3 linked regions of the Rattus norvegicus genome follow. The protein of the gene in region 3 purifies or fractionates together with the protein of the main gene of each other region. This does not show direct contact. Links are inferred from orthologs where the notes say so. Each region holds a gene or a part of one and is shown on either strand. Other genes may lie near its edges.

The links.
Region 1: the proteins of Slc30a5 (region 3) and Csgalnact2 purify together in Homo sapiens (co-immunoprecipitation; 3 studies listed by BioGRID and IntAct, counting the BioPlex papers as one, with this or other methods). This does not show direct contact. The link is inferred for Rattus norvegicus from reciprocal best matches to the Homo sapiens genes SLC30A5 and CSGALNACT2.
Region 2: the proteins of Slc30a5 (region 3) and Slc30a6 purify together in Homo sapiens (co-immunoprecipitation; 5 studies listed by BioGRID and IntAct, with this or other methods). This does not show direct contact. The link is inferred for Rattus norvegicus from reciprocal best matches to the Homo sapiens genes SLC30A5 and SLC30A6.

Annotation. Positions count from the first base shown.
Region 1 is NC_086022.1:152,971,194-152,974,848, reverse strand, and holds part of Csgalnact2 (chondroitin sulfate N-acetylgalactosaminyltransferase 2), read left to right. Parts: intron 1-1,494; 5' UTR 1,495-1,754; coding exon 1,755-2,415; intron 2,416-3,655. UniProt on the Homo sapiens protein: Transfers 1,4-N-acetylgalactosamine (GalNAc) from UDP-GalNAc to the non-reducing end of glucuronic acid (GlcUA). Required for addition of the first GalNAc to the core tetrasaccharide linker and for elongation of chondroitin chains.
Region 2 is NC_086024.1:26,775,404-26,778,734, reverse strand, and holds part of Slc30a6 (zinc transporter 6), read left to right. Parts: intron 1-1,711; coding exon 1,712-1,759; intron 1,760-2,617; coding exon 2,618-2,686; intron 2,687-3,331. UniProt on the Homo sapiens protein: Has probably no intrinsic transporter activity but together with SLC30A5 forms a functional zinc ion:proton antiporter heterodimer, mediating zinc entry into the lumen of organelles along the secretory pathway.
Region 3 is NC_086020.1:33,685,867-33,689,521, reverse strand, and holds part of Slc30a5 (proton-coupled zinc antiporter SLC30A5), read left to right. Parts: intron 1-439; coding exon 440-597; intron 598-1,737; coding exon 1,738-1,867; intron 1,868-3,570; coding exon 3,571-3,655. UniProt on the Homo sapiens protein: Together with SLC30A6 forms a functional proton-coupled zinc ion antiporter mediating zinc entry into the lumen of organelles along the secretory pathway.

The sequences.
Region 1 (3,655 bases), on a different chromosome or scaffold from region 3:
TGCCTCCTAAGTACTGGAATTGAAAGTGTGCCATCATACCTGACTTACTAACAACTTACAAAAAATTATATTTCTACTTTTTCAAATGTAGCCTTTCTTTTCCCTAACAAGTAGGAGGATAATAATAACTAAAATAGTTATGAAATATCCCTCAAATTATTTTTTCAGTAATGATATTTAAATGGTTCTTTCATTAAATATTATATTTTTGAGGAATGGTAAATCCTTAGAACCAGTATTAGCTTTTCATTTTCTTTTAGTTAGTTTGTTAAAACTTAAAACTATTCCCATTTTCTCCAACATTTAAATAAGGTTTACAGTCAGATGTCATAAGACTCTGAGTGAATTAAAGTTTTCAGGATACTTGGTAGTCATTTGGTTTACTAAGGTAACAAATGGCATAGGAAAATTAAACCCATTATTTGTGCTCTAATAGTCATAAAAAGTTCTAATCTTGACTATATTTTAATGCAAGTATGCCACAAAAAAATATGATGCAGAATTTTCTGGAGAGGACTTGTCTTCCTAGCGACTAGAAGACAAGTAACTGGGATGTGCCTACTGGTCACCTTCCAAGTTTGTGGCGTGCTGCAGAAAGCATTCCTGTGAGATGTCGCTGTCATGTGTCACATTACCCTGCTCAGAAGAGCTCAGTTGGAATGGAAACTCTGTTTGCAGCAAAGGACTTCTTGCCTCCTGGGTTTTAATCTCTTCTATTTCTAGAGTTAATCCTACTTTAGAATTAGATTGGAAGGGCTCACAGTACTGGTTGGAGCATGAAATGTAGCATGTAGTTTTATAAATTTACCATTTTCCTCTAGGCAGACAAATATAATTAAATCGTTTGTGGTTTTTCTCTCTATCAACTCCAAATCTTCCAGAACTGTAAGGAATCTTGCTGTGTCATACAGTGGAAAGTGATCTAATGCTCAAGTAATCTACCAGAGAACTTTGGATGTAAAAATGTTTTAATGTGTTTTCCAGATGTCTGTGACCTTTTGAAATTGTACCCCACCCCACTTGATTGAAATTAATGAGCAAGAGTATTTGAGTATAACTGGAGAAACTTTCTCTTACAGCAAATTATTATTGCTATAATAAAATTACTTATAGAAATCTAATTTCCACATATTACATGCTTTTGCTGGGAAGTAGTGTGTTTGTTAATAAAGAGTTATAAGCAGGATGATTTTAAAATAATTTAATTAGAATTTATTTAAAAAAACTGAACATAATTTTACTGTTATAATTTGGATGCTTCTTGATTCAGGGGGTAATAGGTGTTGAGATGAACTGGCTTAAAGTTCTATAAACAATATATTAGTATTTTGCATGCTATTTTTCTGAATATTTTCTTCCAGTGCCTACCAATTTCTCTAAATTGTATTAGTCATGGAACCCAACGTAAAATAGTGACACCGCCAAGCATATTGAAGCTGCCACCGATGATATGCTTAAACACAGTTCTCATTGACTCTGGTCTGTTTCTTTCAGAACAGTCACCACCCAGATAATGGATTATATAGACCAGATTGCGTAGTGTGGATATCATGGTAACAATACAGGAAGTATAAATTTCTCACTTCTGCAAGTAGTCATGACTACTGAAGAAGGAATCTTTTAAAATGACAGCAGAGCTCATTTGGGTACCTCTCATGGAAATCCTAATTTTGTTTTTAACTTTTGGTAACTTTTCGCTGAAGTCATGAACAAGCAAAGAGCTTGCCTTGTTAGGCAAACACACACTAGTGAGAATGTCTAGAAGAGGACCGATTCTTCACAGCCGGACCCAGTGGCTGCTGGTGGGCCTTGCTTTGCTTTTCAGTCTAGTATTATTTATGTACCTCCTGGAATGTGCCCCCCAGACTGATGGAAATGCTTCTCTCCCTGGTGTGGTTAGAGAAAATTATGGTAAAGAATATTACCAAGCCCTCCTGCAGGAGCAAGAAGAACATTACCAAACCAGGGCAACCAGTTTGAAACGCCAGATTGCCCAGCTAAAGCAAGAACTACAAGATATGAGTGAGAAGATGAGAGCCTTGCAAGAGAGGAAGAAGCTAGGGGCTAACGGCATAGGCTATCAGGGCAACAGAGAGCAGACACCCAGCGACCTCTTAGAGTTTCTTCATTCCCAGATCGACAGAGCTGAAGTCAGCATAGGGGCCAAACTACCCAGTGAGTATGGAGTCGTTCCCTTTGAAAGTTTTACTTTAATGAAAGTATTTCAGTTGGAAATGGGTCTCACGCGCCATCCTGAAGAAAAGCCAGTTAGAAAAGACAAACGAGATGAATTGGTAGAAGTTATTGAAGCTGGCTTGGAGGTCATTAATAATCCTGATGAAGATGATGAACAGGAAGATGAGGAGGGCCCCCTTGGAGAGAAACTGATATTTAATGAAAATGACTTCATAGAAGGTAATATGAAACATATGTTGGTAAGAACCATGCGAGTTGTCATCTGACCTCCATATGTGCATACAGACATGCAAATATAAAAACATTTTTAATCTTTTGATAAATTCTTATGTTAGCATGACAGCATGGTAGTAGCATATGCTAATATATCATTACTACCACAGTATTAAAGCATTTATATTTTTGTCCACTTAATATCACCAAAATTTTGAAATGGCTTTTGGACAAAGTTAAAATAAGATCATAATAAAAACAAGAATAAGAATTAGGATAACAGAGTGAGTCTAAGTCTCAGTGTAAGAATACCAGGTTGAAGGGCTCTTGTGGGCCATGTGATATTCATTCCTCTCTTATCTGGTGTTGACATTCCTCTTAGTTTTTAAAATGTATGAACTAAGGTTCAAAATTTGAAAACCACTTGATAAGGAAGGAAAAATCTAAAGCGTAGGTCAATGGTATTTTCCATTTTTAGAGAAGTAAATGGTCATGGCATCAGAGGGAATACACCATCTTACATTTGGAAATAAAGAAATAACACACTTTCATAGTACAGATTGCACAATGGATGTGAGGTCTTTCCTTTATTTATATGTGTGTGAGTGCTTTGTCCGCATGTGTGTACAGTGTTTGCAGAGACCAGAGGAAGGTATCTGATTCCTTCGCATTGGATCACAGTGCTGGGAATCAAACTTGGGTCCTCTGAGAGAGCGGCGAGTGCCCTGACCTCTGAGCGTCTCTCCAGCCCCAGGATATGCTCTCAAGTTGCTATAACTTAAAAGTCATATAAATCTTAGGTATTGGTTAATTTTTTTAAAAATAAATAAATGTGTATTCCTGTCTGTCTCCATAGTAATTAATGCCCACTGCTAGCATTTCCATTCCACTGCAAACAAAGCCATTTTGGCTATAAGTGTTTCTTAAAAGTTTGTTTTGCTGTATTCTATAAACAGCCTACCACATTCAGCATTTTGTTGGCCTCCAAACCATCATGGCTATCACTTGTATGACTTCTGAAGTCTATCAGGCAGGGATTCTGCTTTGCCCGGGCATTTTAGCCATCTTCTTCCTATGGCCTCTTTTTAGTCAAGATAGTTTTTGTTAGTTGCTTCTCTCAAAATTCTCCAACTTTCTGGAGCACTTAGTTTCTTTTTTTTTTTTTTTTCTTTTTTTTTTTCGGAGCTGGGGACCGAACCCAGGGCCTTGCGCTTCTAGGCAAGTGCTCTACCACTGAGCTAAATCC
Region 2 (3,331 bases), on a different chromosome or scaffold from region 3:
TGCTGAGCTGTCCATCATCACTGGGTGGTTGGTTCCTTAAGTCTCACTGGATTAGAGAAAGCAGCTTCTTTGTGAGGAAGAGTGTGGTGTCTTCCTCCCTGGGAGCCCCTCCCACTCTTAGCAGTTTTCTCCTTTATTTTTGTTCATGACAGAAGCCATCTAGGAAAGGCTAAAAGCACACAAGTGAGTGTTCTAGAGATGAGCCACCATTTTGTATAGCCTGTGCTGGGTGAGCTTTAAGAAGGCAGGGTCCTCAGAGACTTCATCCCGGGACAGCTTCGCCTTGCTGCTGCGCTGCCTTTCCTGTCACATGACAGCCTAACGATGCCTGAGCATCGGCACACACTACTGAGCAGATTCCCTCAGATGAACATGAAGATGAGCTTTCACGAATTAATGCTGTTCAGAAGAATTAATGACTTTAGAGAATTTCTGGTTTGATTCAAATCATTTTAAGGAGAAAATTTAAGGAAACGGTTTTGGTTGTTTTGCCAGAAAGTTGTAATAAAGTTAGAAGCAAGAATAGAATGTGTCCCTGCCTCACAGAATAGTAAGTAAAGGCTGAATAATAAGGAATACAGTGAGCCTTCACAATTACACTAAAAAGAGAAATGGGCTTGGGACAAATTTATAATCAAGGAAAACATTGATTCTAGGTCAGGTCCAAGGAGGAAGCCATTGGTGTATACTATGATAAAGAAAGGCCATGTGAAACTATTACTTTGAGCTTATAATGAGCTTAGAGAATGAAACACTGCTTTGAACTTATTATCAACATCCTTCTATAACTCCCCTTTTGAGTAACATTTTATCTATGAGGTAATTTTCTATAGAGTTTTGTCTAAGAAAGTATAAAAAGGCCAGAAGAAATAAGGTAGTCAGGGTTGGGGATTTAGCTCAGCGGTAGAGCGCTTGCCTAACAAGCGCAGGGCCCTGGGTTCGGTCCCCAGCTCTAAAAAAAAAAAAAGGAAAGAAAAAGAAATAAGGTAGTGGCTGGGTGGGTTCTGCCCCATCCATCCAAATGTATGTGTGTGGCATTTGGGGCTCAGTCTCATTCACCAAATATATATATATATATATATATATGTATATGTCTGTTTGTCTATATGTATGTATAGACATATATGTGTAAGTATTTGTGTATATACGTAAGTATGCATGAACACTTGTAGAATTAATGAAACATATAGTTGAGCCTGTCCAAAGTGTATGTGTATGTCTGTGAGTATTGCCTGTGTTCTAAGCCTCTCTCCTGGACAGAGAGAAGTCCTTGAGCCAGAAAGAAAAGAGCCCTAGCAGTTAGACCTTTTCCCCTTCTTCATCCCCTGCTACTTTCAGCAGGAATTTATTACCAGAAGCCAGCAGCATTAAGCCGTAGAGTAGTCAGAAACCAGCACGTATTAGCACAAAATAATAAGAGAGAGTTACAAGCTGAATCCCACCTCCTTCCATTCATTCTAAAAGCCAGGGCAGGCTCCTGGCAGGCTCAAAAACAAACAAACAAACAAACAAACAAATAAACAAAATGTGTGTGGACCTATTAATGATGTTCTTAGGCCAGTGAGACCTCTCTTCCCTAAATCATAAGACATGTCAGAAGTCAAGGCTTGTGGAAACCCATTTGTGGATGTTAGGGAGAGCATCAGAACCATTATTGCAAAGTTAATTTCTCCCTAGGCCATTCATGTTTTATTTTATTTTATTTTTTTAGACAACACCACCTCATGTTATTGGTCAGTTGGATAAACTGATTAGAGAGGTAAGTTGAAATAGTAAATAAATTATCTTTCAAAATTATGTCAGAGAAACAAAAGGGTGGGTATGTATAATATATTCAATTAGAATTTTCTTCCAGGGGAATTCTGCTAACAGAGTAGAAGCTATAACACAAGGACAAACACAGAGAAATTTCAGAAACTGCTCAGTTTAGAAGCCAAATTGACTTGAAGTAAATGTAGAAAGAAGATAACAGTCAGAAGACATCATATTAACTGAATAATCTTTCTCACTCTGACTAAAAATGAAAGTCCAAGTGTACATGTTAATCTACTGAGATTCTCAGTTTGTAGGTTATTTTCTCCTGTTAGAAAGCCCACCCACTAATGAGGAAGAACAATCGTTGGTTGGGCTATCAGTTTCGAATGACCACTTTCCCAGCACAGCTGGCTGTGTCTCACGCTGAATCCTGGCCCTGAGCATATCTTTGTTGCCTCTGTCCTCATGGCCCTGGGATTTACTCAATGGCCTTACATTCAAACAGAGGCTTGTTACTGGAAGATCCAGGGCAAAAAACAACCAGTTCGCATGTACACTCCCATACACACCTTAAAAAGAAACTTGGCACCGGAAATGACTGTCATAAATATGTTTACCTTGTTCAAAAACACCACCATAAATTGTAAAGCACTGAGCAATCTGCCGCTGACCAAGGATGGGACAGCCTGGGTCAGGACTGAACAGTCAAACAGGAGCCATCGGAGACTTCTGCTAGCCACTGCCTGTCCTTGGTCAGGGTTCAGCTGAGTTGTTTCCAGGCGACAGCCAGCCTGTACTGTGTTTGGACTACTGCATTGCTCTGTCGAATGCAGGTAACTGATAAACTTTTATGTTTGATTAGGTGTCTACCTTGGATGGGGTGTTAGAAGTCCGAAACGAACACTTTTGGACCCTTGGATTTGGCTCCTTGGTATGTCTTCTAAAAGTTAGTTTAGTATGATTTAAACATGGTTTTTAAAACTTAAATAGCATTTTGTTAAATTTTTCATGGTGGGGGCTAGAGAGTTGGTTCAGTGTTTAAGAGCATTGCTCCTGCAGAGGACCTAGCAAATAAATAAATCTTTTAAGTTTTAATCATGGAAGCTTTGGTTTTCCTTTCTGTTGAGAGGCATCTAAATATTGACAGCCTCAGTTTGAGATTGAAGCAACTTTTTTCTTCTTTTCTTCTTTTTTTATTTAATCTCAAACCTACTGGACATTTTGTTGTTGTTGTTGTTGTTGTTGTGTTGGAGGCGTGGAAATTGCATCTAAGACTTATTGCCTCATAGTTTTCCCTGTCATTAACACTCTCCTACTACATGTTTTTGCTTGTTTTTCTTGGAGACAGCATCCCATCCCACACACGAGGCTGCCCGTGAACTCACTCTTGTAGCCCGGCCAGCCTTGCCCTACAAGCCTCCTGAATACTGACAGTCTAGGCCAGCACTGTCACCTTGCTTTACATGTCCTTTTTGTTTGTTCTGTTTTTTGTTTTTTTGTTTTGTATTTTTTTTTTAAGACAGGTCACTGTATGTAGCCATGACTGTTCTGGAACTCTCTGTGTAGACCAGGCTGA
Region 3 (3,655 bases):
TTTCTGCTAAAATTTACATTTTTCTCTAATTAATAGCAAGGATCCTATGCAAACGAGGCAAACAGTCTTTGCAGTATTGTGGAAATGCTGGTTTTGTGTACTGTTTTAAATCATTACTACAGTAGCTTGTAAGAGGTAGAGTTGCCTCTTCATAAGATGTCAATACATACCGCTGATGCTGACATCTATTTAGAGCCTGGTCAGCTGATTCCTACGGGCATACAAATCAGTTGCCTTTGAGTTTGTAAAATGCATGTATCTGGTTAGCTTACTTTATAATCTGTATGAAATACAGTATCCAGCATTAAAGTTTTAAGCATATCTTAAAAGAAGGCTTGGGTAATTAAAGGTTAAATTCTTATGACTAAAATCTAACAGTTCTCTGCAGTGGTGTATTTCTCAACATACTCCTCCCATGATTTCTTGACCCTCTCTTTAGCTCTTCACCTTTGTGGAGTTGTTCTATGGAGTGCTCACCAACAGTCTGGGCCTGATCTCAGACGGATTCCACATGCTCTTTGACTGCTCCGCCTTGGTCATGGGACTGTTTGCTGCCCTGGTGAGCAGATGGAAAGCCACCCGGATTTTCTCCTACGGGTAGGTGCTGTCAGGGCACTGTTCCCTTAATACAGTCAGAAACAGAGTCGTGTACTTCCAGTACAGATCATTCCAAGTCTTCGCTTTTACTTGATTTGAAGTTGACAGGGAGTGTGAGCCGCGCATTTGATTAATACTGAGTGGCAGTCAGCCCAGGATTATTCTTCCTAACCCCTAAACCACTTTAAACCACCTAAAATGTCTGCATTTTTGTTCACCATGTTTCTTTGGGGTCATAAAATATTCATAGCTATTCATACCTTGTTAAAAGTGTTCAAAATTTGAAGTGAGTATATATGAAAATACCCTTGTATTATTGCCAATAATTCAACCAATGTCACAATCACTTCTGTGTGCAAGGTGTTTAGTAAGTCGTACCTCTAAATAAATCCACCCTATTGATTGTTTATATTTTGGAAATCTTGCATGGTTTTTGTTTTGTTTGCCTGTTGAATGTTTGGCTACACGTATGTGTGTATACCATATGCATGCCTGATGCCCACAGAGGCCAGAAGCAGCAGTCAGATCCTTGGATCCCTAAATTCTCTGCAAAACACCAAGTGCTCATAACTTCTGGCCCATCTCTTTAGACCTAATTGTTTATATTTTGAAAGGTGAGGGGGCTGGAGAGATGGCTCAGAGGTTAGGAGCACTATGTGCTCTTCCAGAGGTCCAGCAACCACATGGTGGCTCACAACCATCTGTAATGAGATCTGGTGCCCTCTTCTGGCCTGCAGGCAGAACACTGTATACATAATAAATAAATCCTTTTTTTAAAAAAGTGAATGAACCAAGTATACAAATAATTTTGGTACAGACAGAATCTGTGTGCCATGAGAGATACAGTATATATTAGAGCTTTAGAAAGAAATAGTTGCTAAAAAATTAGATAAGGCTTTTTGTAAGAGGGGCATAAAGAAGGATTTTGTAGATATAAAATTATATAATATTTTAATAGTATTTTAATCTATTTTTAATTTTGCTATTATTAGTAGTATTTTTAAATTTTGATAATTTTACATTATTATTCACTTAGTATGAAAAGCTGGGCTTGTTTCTTCACTTTTTATTATAAGTTTATAATGTTTATATTTTTAAAATACTTGTCAGTCTTTTCTAAAAACTATTATGTGTGTTTAGGTATGGCCGAATAGAAATTCTCTCTGGATTTATTAATGGACTTTTCCTGATAGTGATAGCTTTTTTTGTGTTTCTGGAGTCAGTGGCTAGACTGATTGATCCTCCGGAACTTGACACAAACATGCTGACAGTAAGTCTTCTTCTCCTGTTTAAGTGTCCACTTACTCACCCGGCTTTTCCTCACCAAGGCCTATCTAGCTGCTCTGTTGCTGTAGTATGTTTTAACTTTGTTTAAACAGTATAACTTCATTCTTGGTACACCGTCTCCTTTATGTGCTGTTTTGTCTCCTGTGATTTTGGTAACTAGTTTACCATGGTCTAGTAAATGAAAAATTCCTTAAATAAATAAATTTGAGGTTTTAAGTGACCCAGCACTTTGGAGACCGTCAGAGGACTCCGTCTGCTTTAGTGTGTTGCATTGTTACAGTGGGTCTATCTCATCACTGTTGCTAGTCTCCTACGCCTGACCTGCACTTTACCACTGGGGTGTGTGTGTGTGTGTGTGTGTGTGTGTGTGTGTGTGTGTGTGTGTGTGTGTGTGTGCCATCCATAGCTTCGGGAACACACTGAAGTCTTAAAACTTGTGCCCCAACAATAAACAAAGACTACTCTGCTTACATTGTTACTTCAGACTCTTAGAGATTAATCCTTTTCTCAAATATCTTAGACAAATATAAGGTTACATTATAAAACATACAGGTTCCTTTATAACTTAATTTTTCTTTCAAAATTTATATTTTTAAATACCTAAGGGTATTCGTACATTGTTAAAGATAAAATCAGAGAAGAATAAAAATTGTATGTTTTCCCCAATAGATTATATAACGATCATAACAACTTTTAGTTTTTCCTATCCCCAGCCCTTATGGATGTGGTTTCTTGTAGATAGTACATCCTTCCTTCACGCTGCCCTTCTGATTCCTCTGAGATTTGCTGAGTCTGTTCTGTTGGGGAGCTTGCCCTTAAGTTCAGTCTTCTCTTCCATCCTCACAGTTTCCCAGGTGCTTCCTGTCAGTCTCCCTGCCATCTCTTATCCTGCTGTATCTCCTTTAGCAGCCCTGACTTGGGCTTGCTGTCAAGTCAGTCATTCTTCCATAGTAAGATGTCTTAAGGCCCTGAGTCGTGTATCATTAAGTCTTTGATGCTGGCACTTGGATTTTCAATTATGTGTAGGGTGTTTTGCCTGCATGTATATATATATACCACATAGCATGCCTAGTGCCCATGGAGGCCAGAGAGGGCATGGGGGTCCCTTGGAATTGGAGTTATAAATGGTTGTGAGCCACCATTTAGGTCGTGGGAATTAAAACCTAGGTCCTCTGGAAGAGTAGCCAGTGCTTTTAATGGCTGAGCTAGCTCTCCAGCCCTTTGGTACTGACATATAGTAGGAAAATGAACAATTAATTCTCAAATCACTGAAAGTAATTTGGAGTTTTGGTTAACTTGTACAGTTGGATCAAGGATGTGCCTGTCTGTTTTGAGCGGGGTCTCACTAGGTAGCCCTGAAATTCACAGAGATCCACCTGCCCCTGCTTCCTGAATGCTGGGATTAGAGGCATATACCACCATGCCCAGCCAGGATTTGCCATTCTATATCATTAAATTCAAATCCTTGTACCAGTTTTTCTGGTATCTGAAAGTTAGAATGATCCTTCTAAAATACTTTATAGTTCACATCTTTAACATGATAGATTTACTTGGGAAACTTAGTGAAGTTTACTATGAATAGTTTTGGAATTCTCAGTAGAAAAGCATAGCTATGTAATAACTTCTAAATAGCACCTTTTTTCCTAAGCTTTAGAATTAAAGCTTTGCTTTTCTCCTTTTTGCTAGCCAGTGTCCATTGGAGGGCTGATAGTAAACCTTATTGGAGTCTGTGCCTTTAGTCACGCCCACAGTCATGGCCATGGGCCTTCTC